Caenorhabditis elegans: one gene and its partners. The protein of the gene in region 1 interacts with the protein of each later gene in a biochemical or structural test. Each region holds a gene or a part of one and is shown on either strand. Other genes may lie near its edges.

Region 1 (7,820 bases):
TTTATTGTTGCCAGAAAGATTCTGAGATTCTCGAAGTCGATTTTATAATATTTAACCTTGGTTTTTGCATTGTTTCGTTTAAAAAAACCACTGTTTATGTGAAAAACGATTAGTTTACTAATAAAACTACTTTTAAACCTTTACCTTTACCTCACCGCTCCGTGTTCATGGCTCATAGATTTTCGATACTCAAATCCAAAAATAAATTTACGAGGGCAATTAATGTGAAACAAAAACAATCCTAAGATTTCCACATGTTTGACCTCTCCGGCACCTTCTTCCTTAGCCCCACCACTCCATCACCTCTTTGGCGGTGTTCTTCGAAACCCACTTAGGAAAGCAGTGTGTATCTCATTTGGTATGCTCTTTTCGATTTTATAGCTCTTTGTCGCAATTTCAATGCTTTAAACAATCCAAATCGCATTATATTTGTGCATGGAGGCAAATGACGGGGTTGGAATCTTAGATGAGATCAGGAGCTTTCAGGGTAAACGCCCGGTTCATTTTGTACCACATTTCATCATTTTCCTGTCGTCCTTGGTATCCTCAACTTGTCCCGGTTTTGTTTTCGGTACACTCTTCCGTGATGCCACCTGCTCCGTCTCAATTATCGTTTAGAAATGTGAACTGTCCAGATGGGTGACTCATATTGCTGCTGCTACAATCCACTTTCTTTTCTCATCGGCATGCTTACGAGCCCATCATAAACTTTTTTTTCCGCGAAATTTGCAATAAACCGGCCAAAAACTTTCTCCAAATTGTTACGCAATATATACAATCCATAAGAATATCTTCTCAATGTTTATGATTTCTTCGCAGCACTTTCTCTTCGTGTGCTAACATCTTATTTTTATAATATTTCCGCTAAAATTCCGATTTTTGAGTATTAATTTATCGTAAAATTATCATAATAGCACCGAAAACTACAAAAAATGGTAAAGTCTTTTAAATCGGCTCGACATTATCGTATTAAGGAATCACAAAATTCTGAGAATGCGTACTGCGCAACATATTTGACGCGCAAAATATCTCGTAGCGAAAACTACAGTAATTCTTTAAATGACTACTGTAGCGCTTGTGTCGATTTACGGGCTCAATTTTTGAAAATAATTTTTTTTTTCGAATTTTGACAACCCGTAAATCGTCACAAGCGCTACGGTAGTCATTTAAAGGATTACTGTAGTTCTAGCTACGAGATATTTTGCGCGCCAAATATGATGCGTAATACGCATTCTCTGAATTTTGTGTTTCCGTAATAATTTCACAAGATTTTGGCATTCCTCTTTAAAGGCGCACGGATTTATTCCAATGGGTCTCGGCACGCAAAAAGTTTGATAGACTTTTAAATTCTCCTTGCATTTTTAATTCAATTACTAAAATTTTCGTGAATTTTTCTGTTAAAATTTTTAAAATCAGTTTTCTAATATTTTCCAGGCTGACAAACAGAAACAAAAACACAACAAACATTTTAAAAATCAGTTTTCAAATTAAAAATAACGATTTCTCATTGAAAATTGTGTTTTATGTTTGCGAAAATAAAAGAGAACTGATTCAAAACAATTTTAACAAAAAAAAACCCCAAAATTCGCCAGAAATCAAGATAAAAAATTCAAGAGGGTCAAAATTTTCCGATTTTACTGACTTTCACCTTTTTTTTCGTAGTTCAGTGCAGTTGTTGGAGTTTTTGACGAAAACTAGGAAAAAAATCGATAAAAATTACTCAAATCGAGCTGAATTTTGAGGACAATGTTTAAAAAAAAACACTATTTTTCCAATAATTTCACTCATTTTCAGACTAAATCGAAAATCAAATCGTACTCTGACTACGGGTCAGTAGAGAGGTCAACCATCAGCCGAAGATGATGCGTCAAGATAGAAGGAGCTTGCTAGAGAGGAACATTATGATGTTCTCTAGTCATCTAAAAGTCGATGAAATTCTCGAAGTTCTCATCGCAAAACAAGTGTTGAATAGTGATAATGGAGATATGATTAATGTGAGTTTTTAATCGAATAATAATTTTAAAAAAAAATTGATAATATAAAGAATATTTTTGCAGTCATGTGGAACGGTTCGCGAGAAGAGACGGGAGATCGTGAAAGCAGTGCAACGACGGGGAGATGTGGCGTTCGACGCGTTTTATGATGCTCTTCGCTCTACGGGACACGAAGGACTTGCTGAAGTTCTTGAACCTCTCGCCAGATCGTAGGTTTTTAAAGTTCGGCGCAAAAGCAAGGGTCTCACGGAAAAAGAGGCGGATCGTAATTTTGCAACCCACCGGCACGGTTTTTTCCTCCGAAAATCGGAAATTATGCACTTTCCCAAATATTTGAAGTGAAATATATTTTATTTACTGAAAGCTCGAGTGATTATTTATTTTTTAACACTAATTTTCGTGGCGCAAAAGGCCATTTTGTAGATTTGCCGAAAATACTTGTCACACACACACACACACATCTCCTTCAAATATCCCTTTTTTCCAGTGTTGACTCGAATGCTGTCGAATTCGAGTGTCCAATGTCACCGGCAAGCCATCGTCGGAGCCGCGCATTGAGCCCCGCCGGCTACACTTCACCGACCCGAGTTCACCGTGACAGCGTCTCTTCAGTGTCATCATTCACTTCTTATCAGGATATCTACTCAAGAGCAAGATCTCGTTCTCGATCGCGTGCACTTCATTCATCGGATCGACACAATTATTCATCTCCTCCAGTCAACGCATTTCCCAGCCAACCTTGTATGTTGATGCGAACACTAAATTCTGAGAATGCGCATTACTCAACATATTTGACGCGCAAAATATCTCGTAGCGAAAAATACAGTAACCCTTTAAATGACTATTGTAGTGTCGATTTACGGGCTCGATTTTCGAAACGAATATATGCTCGAATTGTGACAACGAATTTTAATTTGTCATTTTTGTGTTTTCTTTTGATATTTTTGATCAATTAATAAATTATTTCCGTAAACAGACACCAGCGCTACAGTACTCTTTTAAAGAGTTACAGTAGTTTTCGCTTCAAGATATTTTGAAAAGAATTTTAAACATTTTGAAAAAAAATCATCTAACATGTGCCAAAACGCTTTTTTCAAGTTTCGCAGATTTTTTGATTTTTTTCATTCAAGATATGCTTATTAACACATATAATTATCATTAATGTGAATATCTTGTAGAAATTTTGGTTTTCGTTCTAGTATGCTCTACTTTTGAAATTGCTCAACGAAAAAATCATGTGGTTGTTCATATGATGACGAAAAATGCATTTTTTATATATTTTCCCCTATTCATGTGTGCAGAAAAATGTAAAAAAGCGCATGCATTTTTCGACATTTTTTACATCGAACGACAGCTCACTTCACATGCTGAAGACGAGAGACGCGGAGAAATACCACACATCTTTCTGCGTCTCTCGTCTTCAGCATGTGAAATGGGATGTCGGTCGATGTAAAAAAATGTCGAATAATGTAAAAAATGCATGCGTTTTTTTACACTTTTCTGCACAAATGAATAGGGGGAAAATGTATTAAAATACATTTTTTGTATTTTTCAACATCACATGATTAACCCCATTATTTTTTCGTTGAGCAACTTAAAAAGTAGAGAATATTAGAGCGAAAACCAAAATTTCTTCAAGATATTACCTTTATTGATAATTATAGATGTTAATAAGCATATCTTGAATGAAAGTCAGCAAAAATATGTGCGAAACACCTGAAAAAAATCAAAAATTCTGCGAAAATTGAAAAAATGCATTAAAATACATTTTTGCATTTTTCTACATCACATGAATGTAGAAAATTAAAAGGGAAATCAAAATTTCTAGAGGATATAATTGAATGAAACATTGCGAAATTAAAATGTGCGAAACGTCAAAAAAGAGGAAATTTGGGTATCAAAATCGATCCTAAAACCAACACATTTCAGCATCCGCCAACTCTTCATTCACCGGATGCTCTTCTCTCGGATACAGTTCAAGTCGTAATCGCTCATTCAGCAAAGCTTCTGGACCAACTCAATACATATTCCATGAAGAGGATATGAACTTTGTCGATGCACCAACCATAAGCCGTGTTTTCGACGAGAAAACCATGTACAGAAACTTCTCGAGTCCTCGTGGAATGTGCCTCATCATAAATAATGAACACTTTGAGCAGATGCCAACACGGAATGGTACCAAGGCCGACAAGGACAATCTTACCAATTTGTTCAGATGCATGGGCTATACGGTTATTTGCAAGGACAATCTGACGGGAAGGGTACGGCGAAATTATATTACCCAAACGCGAAATTTTTGCCATTTTTGCGCCGAAAATGTGGCGCCCGGTCTCGACACGACAATTTGTGTTAAATGCAAAAATGTATAATTTTGCAAAAAACAAAATTTTGAACTTCCGCGAAAATGATTTACCTAGTTTCGAAATTTTCGTTTTTTCCGGCTACATTATGTGTTTTTTCTTAGTTTTTCTATAATATTTGATGTAAAAAACCGTTTGTAAATTTTCAGACAATTTTCCGCATACAAAACTTGATAGCACGAAATCAATTTTCTGAATTTTCAAAATTATCCAAAAATGCACAATTTAAAATTTGTGAAAATTGGCAAACGGTGTTTCAATATGAAATGTATTTTTAAAAACTTTAAAAACCACTCCGGAAAAGCAATAAAAATCAAAACAACGTCACAATTCAAATTCAAAAGTTATTCATCCGATTTGTTTATTTTTGCAAAATTTGAAAAAATCATGAAGGATTTAGAAAAGTTTTATAACATTTTTTCTAGATTTTTCAAAATTTTTTTTAACAAATCGAGAAAAAGAGAATGAAAAATCGATTTTAAAAATATCCACAGCAACGAGAGTTTGAAATTACAGTACTCCTTAAAGGCGCACACCCCATTTGCATTGACCAAAAATTTGTCGTGTCGAGACCAGGTACCGTAGTTTTTGTCGCAAAAATTGCACCATTGGACAATAAACCTTCCTAATCACCAAAAAGTAAAATTGAAATCTTCGAAAAGCCAAAAAATTCAAAAAAAAAGTCGAATTTCGATTTTTTTTTTGGTTTTTTGGTCCCAAAAACCAAAAAATCAATTTTTCGTCAAAATACCAAAAGAAACCCAAAAAATTTCCCAGCCTTGTTCCTAATGTAAACTGATATTTAATTTCCAGGGAATGCTCCTGACAATTCGAGACTTTGCCAAACACGAATCACACGGAGATTCTGCGATACTCGTGATTCTATCACACGGAGAAGAGAATGTGATTATTGGAGTTGATGATATACCGATTAGTACACACGAGATATATGATCTTCTCAACGCGGCAAATGCTCCCCGTCTGGCGAATAAGCCGAAAATCGTTTTTGTGCAGGCTTGTCGAGGCGGTTCGTTTTTTATTTTAATTTTAATATAAATATTTTAAATAAATTCATTTTCAGAACGTCGTGACAATGGATTCCCAGTCTTGGATTCTGTCGACGGAGTTCCTGCATTTCTTCGTCGTGGATGGGACAATCGAGACGGGCCATTGTTCAATTTTCTTGGATGTGTGCGGCCGCAAGTTCAGGTTGCAATTTAATTTCTTGAATGAGAATATTCCTTCAAAAAATCTAAAATAGATTTTTATTCCAGAAAGTCCGACGAAAAAATTGCGATATAATTACGAAATTTGTGATAAAATGACAAACCAATCAGCATCGTCGATCTCCGCCCACTTCATCGGATTGGTTTGAAAGTGGGCGGAGTGAATTGCTGATTGGTCGCAGTTTTCAGTTTAGAGGGAATTTAAAAATCGCCTTTTCGAAAATTAAAAATTGATTTTTTCAATTTTTTCGAAAAATATTCCGATTATTTTATATTCTTTGGAGCGAAAGCCCCGTCCTGTAAACATTTTTAAATGATAATTAATAAATTTTTGCAGCAAGTGTGGAGAAAGAAGCCGAGCCAAGCTGACATTCTGATTGCATACGCAACGACAGCTCAATATGTTTCGTGGAGAAACAGTGCTCGTGGATCATGGTTCATTCAAGCCGTCTGTGAAGTGTTCTCGACACACGCAAAGGATATGGATGTTGTTGAGCTGCTGACTGAAGTCAATAAGAAGGTCGCTTGTGGATTTCAGACATCACAGGGATCGAATATTTTGAAACAGATGCCAGAGGTACTTGAACAACAATCGATCTGCTAACTTTTTAAGGCACAGAAAAATAGGCAGAGCGTCCTTTTGCAAGCCTGCCGCGCGTCAACCTAGAATTTTAGTTTTTAGCTAAAATGATTGATTTTGAATATTTTATGCTAATTTTTTTGCGTTAAATTTTGAAATAGTCACTATTTATCGGGTTTCCAGTAAAAAATGTTTATTAGCCATTGGATTTTACTGAAAACGAAAATTTGTAGTTTTTCAACGAAATTTATCGATTTTTAAATGTAAAAAAAAATAGCGAAAATACATCAACATCAAGCATTTAAGCCAAAAATTGTTAACTCATTTAAAAAATTAATTCAAAGTTGTCCACGAGTATTACACGGTTGGCGCGCGGCAAGTTTGCAAAACGACGCTCCGCCTCTTTTTCTGTGCGGCTTGAAAACAAGGGTATCGGTTTTAGATTTTTCCCCAAAATTTAAATTAAATTTCAGATGACATCCCGCCTGCTCAAAAAGTTCTACTTTTGGCCGGAAGCACGAAACTCTGCCGTCTAAAATTCACTCGTGATTCATTGCCCAATTGATAATTGTCTGTATCTTCTCCCCCAGTTCTCTTTCGCCCAATTAGTTTAAAACCATGTGTATATTGTTATCCTATACTCATTTCACTTTATCATTCTATCATTTCTCTTCCCATTTTCACACATTTCCATTTCTCTACGATAATCTAAAATTATGACGTTTGTGTCTCGAACGCATAATAATTTTAATAACTCGTTTTGAATTTGATTAGTTGTTGTGCCCAGTATATATGTATGTACTATGCTTCTATCAACAAAATAGTTTCATAGATCATCACCCCAACCCCACCAACCTACCGTACCATATTCATTTTTGCCGGGAATCAATTTCGATTAATTTTAACCTATTTTTTCGCCACAAAAAATCTAATATTTGAATTAACGAATAGCATTCCCATCTCTCCCCGTGCCGGAATGCCTCCCGGCCTTTTAAAGTTCGGAACATTTGGCCAATTATGTATAAAATTTTGTAGGTCCCCCCCATCATTTCCCGCCCATCATCTCAAATTGCATTCTTTTTTCGCCGTGATATCCCGATTCTGGTCAGCAAAGATCTTTCTCATAGCCCATTCCATTCGAGCTTTCTAATAGGAATTTGAAAATTTTCGAAATTCCAGTAAATAATATTGGAAAATGGATTTTTCGAGTTTTCAGCAACACAAATTTACTTGAAACCCCATTTTCCAAAATTTCAATTTTTTCAAATTTCCCGCTATCTTCCAAAATACTCTTGTACGTTTATTATATTTCCCTCGTTTTTCTTCGATTCCTCCTCTCCGCGCACCCAATAAGTTTTATATATGTTGAGATTTATATAGCTTGTTATTATAATTATATATTTATAGATTATTATAGTTGCTTTTCTCGCCGTATGTTTGTGTGTGTGTGATTGGTATACATAGATAAAAGAAAACAAGGTGTTAACAAAACAAAGGTGAAAAATAATCAACAATTAAAGAAGGAAACAAGCTAATATAAAATTTCGCACATATATGATATGCAAGCTTCTGACAATTCCCTAGTGAGTACTACAGATTAAGAATATGTGCACAAAAATTAAAGGCTGAATTTAAGCTTCTCAAACCTCCCAGATTACAA
Region 2 (4,975 bases), on another chromosome or scaffold:
GCTACTTATCAGTCATCTTCACAGATGGTGTTGGAAAGAATGGATCAACTGTTGCTGGAACATCAGTTCTCTTCCCAGCCTGCCCACTTCTTGCAGTCATTGTTCCATATTGTATGATCTACAGCAAATCGGCATCTGGCGTCTATGATGATCTTATTGTTATATTTGTTCTTCAATTTGGAGCCGTTGCGGCAAAAGCCACAAATCGTCTGATTGTTGCACACATGAGCAGAAGTGAGCTCTCACTTTGGGATTGGATCTACATGGGGCCAATCGCATTGATGATCAATCAATACTACGACATCAAAATCAATGAGCCAACTCTTCTGAAGTACACGACTGTTTACGTTTATGCATCACTTTTAGTCTACTGTTTATTCATAACGCGCCAAATTTGCGACCATATGGGCATTTATTGTTTCAAAGTCACTGCACCAAGAGCTGGAAGTAGCAAGTAATTTCGATTGTATAATTAAATATGGCTTTTCACCTATAGTAATTTGTAATTTTAATTGTAAATGCGGGTGTTTATGAGCGGAAAAGGAATGTTTTGAAGTGCAACGCGTAATGCGTCGCGGTCTCAATTTCTTATCACAACCACAGATCAATCACTTTTCATCTTTTTTTTTGTCTCATCGTCTAAACCTTCAAGAATTCTAACGACTACGTAATTCTAAATAACTGAATGAGCAAATTGGGGAGAAAATTACATTTTCGTTGCGAGACCTTTCGTTTTTGAGCGTCCTGTGCCTTTGAAGAGATTACTGTATGGAAATATTGGTTTAACTTTTTTTTCAGAGTTTGCGGATATAATTTTTCTTTTTTTTCGTATCTATTTAATCGAAATTTAGAAAACAACTATTGTTATAATGATACTGTGGTCCAATTGTTAAGGCGAATAACTTGAAAATAGTTCCAAACGAACATAAATTTTCCGCTCAAACCTCGCAAATCATATTTTTCCTATCTAATAGAGTAACTTCGCTTCCACATTAGTTTATCAAATTTCGCTTGATGACAGACGTGTAACCTTTTCTCCCCGCTACCTAGATAGACGTAAACCTACACAACTTCTGCCACACAAAATTCACTCTCTCACATTCACTCCTCGCTGTATAAAATTCTCGGTTCAATAGGGCGAAGCTGCAACGCGGCGATGATTTCTAGTCGCACGACCGGCGGTTCCTGGTTTTTGCGACCGCCACGGCCACGCTCTCTCTATCTGCTCTCTGCTCTCGGCGCGCTGTCTCTCGCTAGCCTGCCGACGTTTCTCCTTGTCAATCGAACCACTTCTATTCGTTGTAGAATGCCGTGCAGTGCGCTCTCTTCCACATCTTCCGCTTTTTCCAACAACTTCTGTGAGCTTTTTTACCACATCTCTCTCCCCCCGTTTAGTCACAGGAATTACTCGTTTTTTTGTCTCGTTTACCTTTACTTTGATTTTTTCCTTTACAAAAGTTCTTGTAAATTGAATGATAAATTGATTTATATTCCAATTCTCGTTGAATATTTATAAGGGTTCAAGTTTATCCGATTAAACATTGCCCTGCCACTTTATATCTATTCTTTGTATTTTATATTTTGCATTATTGCTCGAATTAATGAGTTTTCCTACTTCTAAACCTAAAAATTCCATTGTCTTTTCGGTCTTCTTGTTGAAAAACGAGGTTTATTTTGATTTTCTTTTCGATTTCCATATAGCTTTCTAAATTCATTCATTCCAGGAAAAGATGGCCGCAGAATCTTCGTACGGATTCGTTTACGGAGTGTCCGGACCTGTCGTCACAGCCGAGAAGATGGCTGGATCGGCTATGTACGAGTTGGTTCGTGTAGGACATCAAGAGCTCGTCGGAGAGATTATTCGTCTCGAGGGTGACTACGCCACTATTCAAGTATACGAGGAAACATCTGGAGTCACAATCGGAGATCCAGTACTTCGTACCGGTAAACCACTTTCCGTCGAACTTGGACCAGGTATCATGGGATCGATTTTCGACGGAATTCAGCGTCCACTCAAGGATATTGCTGATATTACTCAATCCATCTACATTCCAAAGGGAGTCTCCACTAATGCTCTTTCTCGTGAAGCTCGCTGGGACTTCGTTGTGTCCAAGGATCTCCGTGTTGGAGGACACGTGACCGGAGGTGACATCATTGGAACCGTCGATGAGAACTTGCTCATCAAGCACAAGATTCTTCTACCACCAAGTGCATGCGGAACCATCACCTTCGTTGCTCCATCCGGGCAATACACAGTTGAGGACACCCTTCTCGAGCTCGAATTCGCCGGACGCAAGCAGAAATTCTCTATGCTCCAAATCTGGCCTGTCAGATCTCCAAGACCAGTCACAGAGAAGCTCGCTGCCAACAATCCACTTCTCTGCGGACAGCGTGTTCTCGACGCCTTGTTCCCATGTGTCCAAGGAGGAACCACCGCCATTCCAGGAGCTTTCGGATGTGGAAAGACTGTCATTTCCCAATCTCTCTCCAAATACTCCAACTCTGATGCTATTATTTACGTCGGATGCGGAGAGCGTGGAAACGAAATGTCTGAGGTAATTTTTTTGAAAATAATTTTAAAAACATTAGAAAAAATCAAATAAACAAGAAAGCCTTTCCATAATTTCGTTTTTGGAATCAATAGTTTTAATTTTTCAAAAAAAAATTGTGAAAAAGTTTAGTCAGAATAGTTTCGTTTAAGAATAAAATTTAGAAAACAATTAAAAATTAAAAGGTTTATGTTTCTTACTTTTTCCAATGTTTTGTCCCGCATTTAAATTATAAATTAACAATTTTGCCCCTATTTTTTACAATTCTAATTTTTTCTGTTTTTCAGGTACTCCGTGATTTCCCAGAGCTCACCATGGAGGTCGAAGGTGTCACCACTTCCATCATGAAGCGTACAGCTCTTGTCGCCAACACTTCCAACATGCCTGTCGCTGCTCGTGAAGCTTCCATCTACACTGGTATCACCCTTGCCGAATATTTCCGTGACATGGGTCTCAACGTTGCCATGATGGCTGACTCTACCTCTCGTTGGGCCGAAGCTCTTCGTGAGATTTCTGGTGAGTTTTAATCCGTTTAAAATATACTCATATTTGAAATTCATATTTTTTTCTTAATATTTTTGAAATTTCTCTGAACATTTTCAAATTTTCTTTTCAGGACGTCTCGGAGAAATGCCCGCCGATTCCGGATACCCAGCTTACCTTGCCGCTCGTCTCGCTTCCTTCTACGAACGTGCCGGACGTGTTAAGTGTCTCGGATCTCCAGAACGTGAAGGATCCGTCACCATTGTCGGAGCCGTATCACCACCAGGAGGAGATTTCGCCGATCCAGTCACATCCGCCACCCTCGGTATCGTACAGGTGTTCTGGGGACTTGACAAGAAGCTTGCTCAACGTAAACATTTCCCATCTATTAACTGGCTTATTTCCTACTCCGAGTACATGCGTGCTCTTGAGGAGTTCTACGAGAAGAACTACCCAGAGTTCGTCTCACTCCGTACCAAGTGCAAGGAGATCCTCCAGGAAGAAGAAGATCTTTCCGAAATTGTGCAACTCGTCGGAAAAGCTTCCCTCGCCGAATCAGACAAGGTCACACTTGAGGTTGCCAAGATCATCAAGGACGATTTCTTGCAACAGAACGGATACACCAAATACGATCGTTTCTGCCCATTCTACAAGACTGTCGGTATGCTCAAGAATATGATTGGATTCTATGACTTGGCCCGTCATGCTGTTGAAGCAACTGCTCAATCTGATAACAAGATCACATGGAACGTCATCAAGGATAGCATGGGAGATTTGATCTACCAGCTTTCTGCCATGAAATTCAAGGATCCAGTTGCCGATGGTGAAGCCAAGATTCGCAAGGATTACGAAGATTTGGCAGAGGCTATGGCTAACGCTTTCAGAAACCTCGAGGATTAAATTAATGTTTTTAGAAATTTTAAAATTGATTCTCTTGTTTGTTTCTGTTTTCGCCTCCCCGCTAGATTCTGTTCAGTTTTGCTGAGCGTGTACTTTTTAGTTAAAAGTATATGTTTTTCCTTGATCCCCTCACCCAATTCGCCTCCTTTCTCTACTTTTATCCTCTTTAAAGTGTTTGATTGATTTGACATTCCAAATTTCAGATATTTATTGCACCTTTTTTCTCTTTTGTAGATTTCTAAACTTCAAAAAATTCCAACCACACACAATGTATCTGGTCGCCTTACAACTCCCGTTTTAAACAACAATTTCACTTATATTAATCAATATTTTTGGTATTCTTCTTGTTGAATAGACTACTTTACTTGTGCCCTTCCATTTCTTTTTTTGCGACAACCAACCCGTATAGTCTTACGAACCACGTTTTACTGTGTTGTGATATGTATAATACTTTTGAGACACACCAATTCAACTATAGCAATAAACTTTAGGAAAATCACAAATATCTCGCACGCAGGTCTCGTTTTCAAAATGGAATTGGATTCGGTGAAGCAGCAACAACAGCAGAACGCTTGCTGTGAATATATTCTACCAATTAAGAAGCGACGGTGTAAGATGCTGGTGAAAAAGGGAAATCGGTTCTGTGGAGAGCATTCAATTCACGATCAGAATAACACTGATCGTATGGTTTGCCCGAATGATGGAAAACATACGATTCTGAAGGCAGATCTAGAGATTCATCTGACAAGGTGTAATTCTAGAATCAGAGATGCAGAATATATCAAAATTGATGCAAATTCTATTCGTGGCGAGACCAAACGCACCGATAAAATTGATCGAAGAGCCACTGAAGATGAGATTTGTACCACTGTGCACAAGATCTGGAAGTGCTATGAGACGGATGTAATGGATCGTTTGATTGTTGAGCAACAAAGAAATGAGCTCGTCGAGCAAAATATCGCACAAAATTCAGATCTGAACAACACGAAAAAGAAGCAATTATACCAGATTTCGTCTATTTTAGGTTTTATAAAATGCATTTC
Region 3 (5,681 bases), on another chromosome or scaffold:
TGAGAGTGTGAAGATTGAAAAAAATCGGAGATATATTTAAAAAATGAATGTGAATACGAGAAATCAATCAAAATAAACAATTATTCTAAAAAACAAATCGATAATTGAAACTTCCAGGTTACGGTAGTTTTAAAGGCACACAACAATTCACTTGCTTTGGGTCTCGCAGCGCATATGGTTCACTTTTTGAAAATTTTATTCTGAGCTTGATTTTCTCCATTTCAAACATGTTTTATTTAATTGAATTTAAGATTTATTTGTGTTTTCATTGTGAAATATTTATCCGAAAGTCTCACCAAGACATTTCTCGATATCTACTGCCATAAAACCCATCCAGCATTCCTGTCTGTCCGATCACATCTCGGAGCGCTTTTCTGTTGAAAAAACCTTGGCATTGAAAAATAGCGTGTGAGATGAAGAAATACAAAGAAAACAAGAATAGAGAGGAAACGGGGCACAAACGAAGAGACAAGAAAATGATGTGTGCAAGGCGTTTGTGTTTCGGTTTCAACACTATTTAAAATATTCGTTTTTCTTTTGGTTTCTGGGTTTTGAAACCAGTATTTAATTATAACTTAAATTTTTCAAAAGCTAGAAAATCATTGATAAAAGCTTTTTTTTTAATTTTTAAGTTATTTTCGATTCCGCAGAAAATCTTTTGCACTATGAAATCAAAAAGATACCAATCATCAAAAACCTCTGAATCTCATCTCTTTCCCGTCGAAAAAATAACATAAAACATTCGTTGCCACCAGATATCCACCAACTGTTGATTATATCAGATCATCTCATTTTTATCTCCATTCCATCACTTCAAAGCCTCTTTGCAACGAAGGTGAGAAAGAAATTGAAAATTCTGCTTCTCTTCATCTCTTCTCACCGTTCTTATCTGCTTGTCAGTTCTTTTTTTGCGGCGGTTAAATATCATTCAATTTTCAATTCATTTTCTTATTCGACAATTCTCTCCTCTGCACCTAAGATCACCTGCATCACGTTTAATCCAATATGGGTGGTTTAATCAAGTCTTATAGAAAGAAATATGAATAGCTGGAAATTGATATTTCTTTTTTTCTAACTTGGAAACAACCTGATAATACATTAGTTCAAATCGAAATTTGGACTTTTGGAATAATTTGGAAAAACCAAATGCAGATGTAGAGGTGAAATAAAATTACTGTTCCAAAAAAAAAAAAAATACTGTTCCATGCTCATTTCTTTTTCCAATTTCTTTTCCATCTCCTATTGATACTGAATAAGTGATTCCTTTTTTCCGATATATCGCCCTCCGGCGCCCTGCTCCCCTTGTATAATTTCTCTTTATCTCTACCACTCTCCCCACTTTCAATGATCACTTTTTGTCCTGGCGCCTGACCCTTCGTCCATCCGATGCCGTCCATTTTTCATCTCTTTTTCTCTGCATTTCTCCATTTTTATCATACTATTTCCGTTCATTTTTCTTTTAGTATGGTGTAGAAATAGTTGTTCACGGTGGTTCAGTTGCTAGATGGGTGCAAACGCGCTCCACCGAACAAACATGCATAACTTGGCAGGGAAGTACAAAATCAAACATTCATCACAAATAAAGATAGATAATTTCATTGCGGTCATTTCTTATATGCATCGCAAAATCGACTTTGTGACGGTTTTCGAGATAGTAGCCAATATATGTTTCCAGACTGAGTATCATGAACAAACCCATCTAGTTTCTGTGCTACCGGGTGTTGATGGACGCTACTGCAAGCGCGCTGTGTTGAGGACAATAGATGATTGGCGCGGTGCCAACATCATCCGTTTGTTCAGTTTTGACATTTTCCAATCTTGCTTCTATTTGAATTTATAGTTTCTTTCTATAATTTTAATTTCATCATCGGAAGTTCAGCAATGCTTTTAATTAAAAATCTCACAATTAAGTACTGAACTACATATATGTATATTACTTTATTTAAATACGTGACGATTCTCAAAAAAAAATTTTAAAAATCTTTTTCAGGATGTCGACGGTAGTATCGGAGGGAAGGAATGATGGGAATAACCGATATTCACCACAAGATGAAGTTGAAGATAGGCTGCCAGATGTAGTTGACAATAGGCTTACTGAGAACATGAGAGTTCCTTCCTTCGAGAGGCTCCCGGTAAGTTTTTAGTTTTTTGTTTAGAATTATAAAATTATCTAATTTCCGAAAATTTTTCGTTTAAGCCAAGTTTTAATTCTCAATTTTTAAGCATAGTTAATTATAAAACATTTTCGCAAATGACTCTAAAATTAACTTTGACAATTCAATCAAACCTTACTGAATCTATCGAAACCCAGAAACAGTTTTATTTTGGTTTCTGGTGTTCCAATTTTTAGATTTTCAGAAATTTTCGGTAAATATTTTTGTAACAGTTTTTAGTTGAAGACTCCAAATATTTTTTTTGATATTTCGAAAATGTCAGTTAAGGATTTGGTACATTTCCTAAAATTTTGATCTTATTGAGAAATTTCTAGCATTGTTACACTTTTTATGATGATAATCGACCATTTAAGCATAGTACAGATAGTTTCAAACAATTTTGGAATTACTCTGACTTTGAAATTTTTTTTTTAATTGTAGAAACTTGTTTTCTTAGAATTACGCATTCTTACAAAAGATATAGAATGTTCATAAGATGTTTGAGTCGATTTCCCATTAACTGCAGGTGCATTTCATTCTTCCATCATCCGTAAATCATTATTTGGTATACGGTATCTCTCTCCTTTCTAACACTTCCGCGCGGAATAAAAACAGAGATTCAGAGAAATAGAGAGAGGTCAGCTGAGAAGAAGAAGTGTCGCGCACACAGCTCCTCGCCCAATGCCCTCCTGTCGGTTTCTCTGTGAACACTCCACATTTCAAATGATCTCTAATTCAGTTCCTCCACCGCTCACTCATCCTTTCCTCGAATCTCTGGGTTTCCTCGCCACTCTTTTTTTCTCTGTGCTCTCTCTCACCCATTACTATTATTATTTGTATGTGTGGTATTGTTGTTCTGTATATTTGATAGGTTGTATTCTCTAGTTAACACATAGTTCTAATTAGAACAATGATTGAAGCCGCTTTGGAGAATCCGGTGCCCATCAAATCTCAATTGGTATGTAACTAATTGAAATTGCAACTGAAAAAATATCACTGTTTATTTATTGATTCGATTGTAAATAGTCTCGAATTTCCAGTGACGATTCGGGGTAAAACCGGAAAAAAAGTAATTTATAAATAAAAGTCGGAGCGACGAGAAGAGCTTTAATTAAAAATATCTTAACGGTTTAGCAATTTAAAAAAAATATTTAGTTACCTAAATACTTTGAGAGTGGATTATTTATGGTGTTAAAATGAGGAAATATTACTGAAAACTCAGTAAATTAAAAAATTTATATAAAGAAGATGTCAATTAATAACTGCGTCATAATGCCTTTCAAATAATTTAATTTTTTCAGTCACCAACACCTCGATACTTTGGCTCATGCAAATGGTTTAATGTGTCGAAAGGATATGGTTTTGTGATCGATGACATCACCGGTGAAGATCTATTCGTTCATCAGTCTAATCTCAATATGCAAGGATTTCGGAGTCTTGATGAAGGAGAACGTGTATCATACTACATTCAAGAGCGATCGAATGGAAAAGGTAGAGAAGCTTATGCGGTTCGTTTTATTTTTATTTTTTCTAACAGCAAAAGTTAAAAAAAAGGTCAGCGTTCTTTAAATTTGTTTTTTCATCAAAAAAACCTGACAAAAATCAAGCATAATTCATAAAAGCTTTTCCTATTCTGTCAATTAGAAAGTATATTAGTTCTTACGAATTCTCTTTAATCTTTGTCAGTATTTTTGAAAAATAATATTTAAAAACTAAAAAAAAACGCTGCTTTAACCTATATTTTGAATGCGAGAGAAACTTTGCTTATGGTATTTTTGCGCAATTTATTGAGATACGGGAATCCGAAATTCTGAGAATGCGTATTGCACAACATATTTGACGCGCAAAATATCTCGTAGCGACAACTACAGTAATCATTTTAATGACTATTGTAGCTGTGTCGATTTAGGGGCAAAAAAAACACGAAGAATAAAAAAGAAATATCGCTGTCACTATTCGAAAAGAATTTCATTCGAGATCGTAAATCGGCACTAGCGCTAATTACAGTAGTATTAAAAAAATTACTGTAGTTTTCGCTACAGGATATGTTGTCAATGCGCATTCTCAGTTTTTTGTTCCAGTGCAATATTAAAGCAAAATAATAATGTAAATTGAAAATCCAACTCAATTTTATACAGTTTTCAGGTATCAGGAGAAGTAGAAGGACAAGGACTGAAAGGAAGCCGAATTCATCCATTGGGTCGTAAGAAGGCTGTCTCACTACGTTGCTTCAGATGTGGAAAGTTTGCGACTCACAAGGCGAAAAGTTGTCCAAACGTAAAAACCGATGCAAAAGTGTGTTATACCTGTGGATCCGAGGAGCACGTGAGCTCAATCTGTCCTGAAAGACGACGAAAGCATCGACCGGAACAAGTTGCCGCAGAGGAAGCAGAAGCTGCGAGAATGGCAGCTGAAAAATCATCACCGACTACATCTGACGATGATATTAGAGAAAAGAATAGTAATTCCTCTGATGAATAGAATCATCTAGACACTGAGAATATTGATAGAGAAATAATGGAATATATGGTCTCAAATAGATTTTGTCTCGAAATTCTTGAACATCCAAATTTAAATGTGAAAATTTTAGGAAATAATTTTGAGCTTTCTGATAGTTTTTCAGCTTTTGAAATGTATTTTATTTTGAAACCAATATTTATTTCATTTTCTGTCTCATCTAATTCTCAGTTTGCATGCGTTACTTTAACTTACACACTAACTCTTTTTTTATTCAAATTTTGATGTTTTTTTTTCAATTGTTTTACTCAAATTTCCCCTCTAAACCATACTACCACCTACCTCCTCAAATTGCACTCTCAGGGATTCTTTTTTTTTTCAAATAGAACTGATTGCACCTGTTTTCAGGATCTATAAATCTTATAATATATTTAACTTTCGTGTCTTTTCATGTTCATGTATTTCTTGCTGAAATCCATCATTTTCTCTGAAAATCTCTACTCGTAAGTTCCGCTATTGCGGGCGAACGCTGAAATAAATCGAGAGTTTTGTTTTTATATTGATTGAATACATATTTATCACAGAATCATGCAATTTAACAATCCTCAACAAGTTGGCGGGATTTGGCAAGAATTGATTGTTGGGTGGATACAAGGTCGAGAATCGTCTGAAAAATGGATTTGAAATTAAATTCCTGAGATTTTCAATACCTGAATAGAATTTCTATAAATTTTTCGAGCGTCCTTTGCAGCAGCCGGCTCAAGAACCCCAAACGGACGGAATTGTCCAGAAAATGTTTTTTTGGCTTCTTCAACGTCTTCTGATTCTCCGCTATTCTTCTTTTCTGATTTATTCTCGTCCTTCTGCAAAAAATTTAAATGTAAATTTTTGTGGAACAAAAAACGATTGCAAAAAACCTTTTTCTTATTCTTTTTGTCGTTTTTCTCTTCCTCATTCTCTGAATTTTTGAGAAGTACAAATTTCCCGTTTTTCGTATCCAATCTAAAAATGAATACACTTAAGTAAGTATAATTCAAAAAAAAGTAGTTTATACCTGATAGATGGCTCCAA
Region 4 (5,974 bases), on another chromosome or scaffold:
AGCAAGTGATAGTTCCAACCTGAATTCAAGGTGTTTGTCTTATTATATAAAGTATTAACTTACAAATCAATAAAGTCTATATGAAGAAGTACATTCTTCAAAGCAAGTGTAGGAAGTGATAATAAACGAAAAGGTGACATTTTTTTGAATAACTGGAAATACAAAATGGGGAGAAGAGATCTCGAGATGAACAGCATGCGGGGTCTACTTACTATTAGAAAACATCGATTGGTTTTCCCACAAGGTAAAAATATATGGTCTCGTTGCGAACGGGAATCTGGACTGTATAGTGGTGACCCTGCCCACTTCAGTCTACCCCTTCCAATTATTCTTATATCGTAACTTTGTGCAATTATGAGACTTCATACGATTTTCAGAAGAGAATGAACTGTGCTTCTAATTTAATCATAGTTCTTTAAAAAACAATTTTTTTCGCTTTCGTAGTCGGGAGGATTTCTTATTGATGCTCAGAGTGTTTCTTTCAATGTTGTAACATTTTTTGCAATATATGGGTTCATTTATCTTGATGAAAACATAACAAGAAATATAAAGATTCCTCTAGATCTTGTTGAAGGCGACAATGTCGACGGATTGGACGTGATCCTCGAAGTCTCCGGTGATCTTCTCGATGAGGTCATCAACCGAAACCTTGAGATCCTCGATAACAGTGATGATCTGGAGCTTCTTGATTCCTGAAAGTTTACATAAATTTTAATTGTGTGAATTTCAATCCACTAACCGTATCCAATTGGGATAAGCTTAGCTCCTCCCCAGACAAGTCCGTCCATCTCGATAGAACGAACGAGCTTCTCCATCTCTCCGAGGTCGGTCTCATCGTCCCATGGCTTTACATCAAGAATGACTGAAGATTTAGCAATTGGTCCAGCCTTCTTGGCCTTCTTCTCGGCGTAAGCGGCGAGACGCTCCTCAACGATCTTTGCCTTCTCGGCATCTTCCTCCTCATCGTCGGATCCGAAAAGATCGAAGTCATCTCCATCAGCAGCAGCGGCAGCTGGAGCTGATCCTCCGGCGGAAGCCCAGGTCTTGCGCTCAGCATCAGTGTAAGAAGCTACATTAGCGTACCAACGGGCAACATTTGGATAGGTGGAGGCGTTTGGGGCGGATCCGAGAGCGGCGAAAAGTTGGGCGTCCTCTCCAGACAAGACGAAGCTATAATTTTCAAATTATTTCAATGAATAGACTATCTGAAAAATTTACAAGAGTTGATTACACCTATTTTCTGCATTTTTTCCTAAAAATTGCATAACTTCAGAATTTAAAGACTAACCCAGTGGCAAAAGCCTGCTCGGCGAGAGTAGTGTTGAAAGCAGCAAGTCCAGCTGGGCTCTTGACGTCGGCAACCATCTTTTCAGGAGTGAAACACGAAGGAATGATGCTAAAAGTCCTACAAATAGGTTAGTGAATAAAATCGTTGCGAGACTCAAAGTCTGTCGAAACCCCATGCGCCTTCAAACGAGCATAGCGCCAGTGATCATTCAATGGCGTGTTTGCTGACCGGAGGCGCCCAAGTTTCGCGCTTTCATTTCTCCTCCCATTCATTTTCGGCATGCACGCCGTCTCTGCTGACCGATGCGTTATCATTTTCTTTTCGGTTCGCTGCGGAATCACTTGTTTTCGTTCCGAGGGGTTATTTACTGCAGAGAAAAGCTTTTTAATTGTTCCAAATTAAGTTTTAGGCCTGTGTTTATGAATATTATCCTTTCTTTTAATTTTTTTAAATAGGTTCTATTTCTTTCCCTTTGTCGGACAGGAATTTCTGTGAAAATCTTTCATTGTTCTGTAATTTACAGGAGAAACCATGAATTCTCTTCTTCGGTTGAGCCACTTGGCTGGACCTGCACATTATCGCGCACTTCACTCCTCTTCGTCCATCTGGGTATTCAAACCTAAGCATAATTATTATAAATCTTTTGTTTTCAGAGCAAAGTTGCAATCAGTAAATTCGAGCCGAAGTCGTACCTCCCGTACGAGAAACTATCTCAGACTGTGAAGATTGTGAAAGACAGGTGTGTAAAGTTCAATTTGTTTAGCTTGTCAAGTACAAAGTATCTTCACTGCTTTCTGTTCGTTATCATACAATTAATGATGTTTATGGTGAATAGTCATGTGCGCCACTGACATTACAACACATACAGTTCAGTTATAGGTTCTTTTATGTTATTTCTAACTCTCGAATAGTGAAAGCTCACCCAAATCGCAGTCACAAGCCAAGGGTCGCAGAGAGAAACAAACAGAGTTCCGTTGTAATAAGAAGATGGGTTAGAGCGTCATTGAGAGAACCAAGAAAACGTCGAATCTTTTCCATCTCTGTTCTCTGATTAATGTCAACATGTTGTGAGAGGGCGTTTTGACCATAATACAGTTTCATAAGTGTACATCACTATTCTTTTCAACTTTTGATGATGCAAAATCTAATTTCTGGTGTCATTAATTGTGATGTCACAATAGAAATTATGAAAATTATCTAGTTGAACGTTGCATAGAAATTCATGTGGACCACATTCTCTAGTCTCCAGACTGGTCGAACTTTGAAGCCGAGGTGATATTTGCCGTGTGACAGTACTTTGAACTCATGAAGGAAACATCGTTAAGTCTAACTAAAAACTTTAAAAATAGATTTTAGTTTTTCTACTGATAAAAACAAAAAATATATTGTTTCAGATTGAAACGTCCATTGACGCTTTCCGAAAAGATTCTCTATGGACATTTGGATCAACCAAAAACTCAAGATATTGAGAGAGGAGTTTCATACCTTCGTCTTCGTCCAGATCGTGTTGCTATGCAAGATGCTACCGCTCAAATGGCTATGCTCCAATTCATCAGCTCCGGACTTCCAAAGACAGCTGTTCCATCAACTATTCATTGCGATCATTTGATTGAAGCTCAAAAGGGTGGAGCCCAAGATTTGGCCCGTGCTAAGGTTTGTGATATTTGCGAAAAAATTATTTTACTTAAATTTTCTTCACCCTAAATATATTTCGATTTCTAGGACCTCAACAAAGAAGTCTTCAACTTCCTTGCTACTGCTGGAAGCAAATATGGAGTTGGATTCTGGAAGCCAGGATCTGGAATTATCCATCAAATCATTCTTGAGAACTACGCTTTCCCAGGACTTCTTCTCATCGGAACTGATTCTCACACACCTAACGGAGGAGGACTTGGAGGACTTTGTATTGGAGTTGGTGGAGCCGATGCTGTAGATGTTATGGCTGATATTCCATGGGAGCTCAAGTGCCCGAAGGTCATTGGAATCAAACTCACTGGAAAGCTCAACGGATGGACTTCTGCCAAGGACGTTATCTTGAAGGTTGCTGATATCCTCACTGTCAAAGGAGGAACTGGAGCTATTGTTGAGTATTTCGGCCCAGGAGTGGATTCTATTTCTGCAACTGGAATGGGAACCATCTGCAACATGGGAGCCGAAATCGGAGCTACGACATCTGTCTTCCCATACAACGAGAGCATGTACAAGTATCTGGAAGCTACTGGACGTAAAGAAATCGCCGAAGAAGCCAGAAAGTACAAAGATCTCCTCACTGCTGACGATGGAGCTAACTATGATCAAATCATCGAGATCAACCTCGACACTCTTACTCCACATGTCAACGGACCATTCACTCCAGATCTTGCCTCTTCCATCGACAAACTTGGAGAAAACGCCAAGAAGAACGGATGGCCACTCGATGTAAAGGTCTCACTTATCGGATCATGCACCAACTCTTCATACGAAGACATGACCCGTGCTGCTTCCATTGCCAAACAAGCTCTTGATAAGGGACTCAAGGCTAAGACCATTTTCACCATCACCCCAGGATCCGAGCAAGTCCGTGCCACTATTGAAAGAGACGGACTCTCCAAGATTTTCGCTGATTTCGGAGGAATGGTTCTCGCAAATGCCTGTGGACCATGTATTGGACAATGGGATCGTCAGGATGTGAAGAAGGGAGAAAAAAACACAATTGTCACATCATACAACCGTAACTTCACCGGAAGAAATGATGCGAACCCAGCCACTCACGGTTTCGTTACTTCTCCAGATATCACAACTGCTATGGCCATCTCCGGACGTCTTGACTTCAATCCACTTACTGATGAGCTCACCGCCGCTGATGGTTAGTAACATTTTGAATAGTTATATTTTTTCATTACTCAACCTCGTTTATCATTTCAGGAAGCAAATTCAAACTCCAGGCTCCAACTGGACTCGACCTTCCACCAAAGGGTTACGATCCAGGAGAGGACACATTCCAAGCCCCATCTGGAAGCGGACAGGTTGATGTATCTCCATCTTCTGATCGTCTTCAACTTTTGTCTCCATTCGACAAGTGGGATGGAAAGGACCTCGAAGATATGAAGATCCTCATCAAGGTTACCGGAAAATGTACTACTGATCACATTTCTGCTGCTGGACCATGGCTCAAATATCGTGGACATTTGGACAACATTTCGAATAATCTTTTCCTTACGGCTATCAATGCTGACAACGGAGAGATGAACAAGGTCAAGAACCAAGTTACTGGAGAATATGGAGCCGTTCCAGCCACTGCCCGCAAATACAAGGCTGATGGAGTTAGATGGGTTGCTATCGGAGACGAGAACTACGGAGAGGGTTCATCTCGCGAACATGCTGCTCTTGAGCCACGTCATCTTGGAGGAAGAGCTATCATCGTGAAATCCTTCGCCCGTATTCACGGTCAGTTAGTCTTCAAAATAAATAAAATTTACCTTGCTTATTTCCTCAACGCGCCATAACTTATTTTTTTCAGAGACGAACTTGAAGAAACAAGGAATGCTCCCACTCACATTTGCCAACCCAGCTGACTACGACAAAATCGATCCATCAGACAATGTTTCTATCGTCGGACTCTCCAGTTTTGCTCCAGGAAAGCCACTTACGGCTATTTTCAAGAAGACCAATGGATCAAAGGTGGAAGTGACCTTGAATCACACCTTCAACGAGCAACAAATCGAGTGGTTCAAGGCCGGATCTGCCCTCAACAGAATGAAGGAAGTATTCGCAAAGAGCAAATAAATGTTTCATTGGAAAACTATTTTCTCTTCAAAACCTGTAGTAAATACTCATTTTCAACAAACTGTAATGTAATGTATACTGAATTGAAGTATTTTGAAAATTCATTAGAGAAGTGAAAAACATTTTCTAAATACTTCAGTTCATTCCCAATTTTCCCATAGTAGTCATCACAACCTCCATGAGATTGTTTTTATGTATGAGTAGATATTGTTTTGTTTCGTTTTCGTTTTTTTGTAATTGATTCTTATTTCCATGAAAAGACACAACTATTTATTCTTGTTCATTTATTGATCATTTACGAAGACGGGCGAAGATACTGAGGGCCACCGTGACGATTCCAACGCCAAGAAGAGCCTTTAAAATAAACTGATTGGAGTATACTCAAATGAAAGCTAAATCCAAATTTACCGAGTTATCATAAGTGAATGCACAGATCTTTGATGCCAGAGTGTTTTGTGAAGAATGATCAGTTGTTGTGGTTTCCATTGGATGCGAAGGATCAACCGGTCCGGCTTTTCCACCATCACCATCACTCTTCAGAAGATCATTCAACCAATCATCCTGTGATTCTTCATCACCATTTCCAACAACTTCAACGTCAGAAATATCACTGACAACCACGTCACCAGCTCTATCTTTAATCTTCATTTTGCGAAGTTTCTTAATGCGTCGCTGTTTTGCCACCGCTTTTTTATAATCAGCAGATTTTTCGCTTCTCTTCGGTGCTTCTGACATTATCGAAGTGGATTCAGCTGCAAGTTAGAAAAAATTAGGAAAGAAAAATAAATCCAATAAATTCACCTTTTCAATTAGCTTGTATTGAGTGATAAAAAACGAAGAACTGAATATTTTATGATGAAGTAATTGAACCGAATATTATAAACTTTACGTAGGAAATATACTTTTTCGCGTGATTAATTT

The links.
Region 2: of the proteins of ced-3 (region 1) and vha-13, one has a biochemical effect on the other in vitro, tested with the Caenorhabditis elegans proteins (one study listed by BioGRID).
Region 3: of the proteins of ced-3 (region 1) and lin-28, one has a biochemical effect on the other in vitro, tested with the Caenorhabditis elegans proteins (2 studies listed by BioGRID).
Region 4: of the proteins of ced-3 (region 1) and aco-2, one has a biochemical effect on the other in vitro, tested with the Caenorhabditis elegans proteins (one study listed by BioGRID).

What each region holds. Positions count from the first base shown.
Region 1 is NC_003282.8:13,198,106-13,205,925, reverse strand, and holds ced-3 (Cell death protein 3 subunit p17), read left to right. Parts: upstream 1-1,788; 5' UTR 1,789-1,859; coding exon 1,860-1,994; intron 1,995-2,057; coding exon 2,058-2,203; intron 2,204-2,481; coding exon 2,482-2,735; intron 2,736-3,923; coding exon 3,924-4,255; intron 4,256-5,167; coding exon 5,168-5,381; intron 5,382-5,435; coding exon 5,436-5,563; intron 5,564-5,636; exon of another isoform or gene 5,637-5,786; intron 5,787-5,917; coding exon 5,918-6,157; intron 6,158-6,633; coding exon 6,634-6,696; 3' UTR 6,697-7,665; downstream 7,666-7,820.
Region 2 is NC_003283.11:14,349,987-14,354,961, forward strand, and holds vha-13 (V-type proton ATPase catalytic subunit A), read left to right. Parts: upstream 1-1,722; 5' UTR 1,723-1,730; coding exon 1,731-2,555; intron 2,556-2,836; coding exon 2,837-3,065; intron 3,066-3,165; coding exon 3,166-3,932; 3' UTR 3,933-4,436; downstream 4,437-4,975. Other genes in the region: cept-2 (diacylglycerol cholinephosphotransferase), read left to right, coding at 1-458; Y49A3A.3 (tRNA:m(4)X modification enzyme TRM13), read left to right, coding at 4,464-4,956. UniProt on the Caenorhabditis elegans protein: Catalytic subunit of the V1 complex of vacuolar(H+)-ATPase (V-ATPase), a multisubunit enzyme composed of a peripheral complex (V1) that hydrolyzes ATP and a membrane integral complex (V0) that translocates protons.
Region 3 is NC_003279.8:8,407,114-8,412,794, reverse strand, and holds lin-28 (Protein lin-28), read left to right. Parts: upstream 1-1,990; 5' UTR 1,991-1,991; coding exon 1,992-2,132; intron 2,133-2,874; exon of another isoform or gene 2,875-3,063; coding exon of another isoform or gene 3,064-3,111; intron 3,112-3,454; coding exon 3,455-3,661; intron 3,662-4,298; coding exon 4,299-4,634; 3' UTR 4,635-5,163; downstream 5,164-5,681. Other genes in the region: F02E9.1 (Vacuolar ATPase assembly protein VMA22), read right to left, coding at 5,206-5,277, 5,321-5,473, 5,528-5,612, 5,665-5,681. UniProt on the Caenorhabditis elegans protein: Heterochronic protein which controls the choice of stage specific cell fates. Regulates the timing of the second larval stage events (L2 events) in the hypodermis.
Region 4 is NC_003281.10:7,971,906-7,977,879, forward strand, and holds aco-2 (putative aconitate hydratase, mitochondrial), read left to right. Parts: upstream 1-1,811; 5' UTR 1,812-1,819; coding exon 1,820-1,897; intron 1,898-1,935; exon of another isoform or gene 1,936-1,941; coding exon 1,942-2,027; intron 2,028-2,682; coding exon 2,683-2,941; intron 2,942-3,010; coding exon 3,011-4,133; intron 4,134-4,192; coding exon 4,193-4,714; intron 4,715-4,787; coding exon 4,788-5,053; 3' UTR 5,054-5,344; coding exon of another isoform or gene 5,345-5,407; 3' UTR 5,408-5,450; downstream 5,451-5,974. Other genes in the region: F54H12.5 (uncharacterized protein), read right to left, coding at 1-19, 64-197; eef-1B.1 (putative elongation factor 1-beta/1-delta 1), read right to left, coding at 559-692, 740-1,170, 1,289-1,365; C06G4.4 (uncharacterized protein), read right to left, coding at 5,345-5,407, 5,462-5,788. UniProt on the Caenorhabditis elegans protein: Catalyzes the isomerization of citrate to isocitrate via cis-aconitate.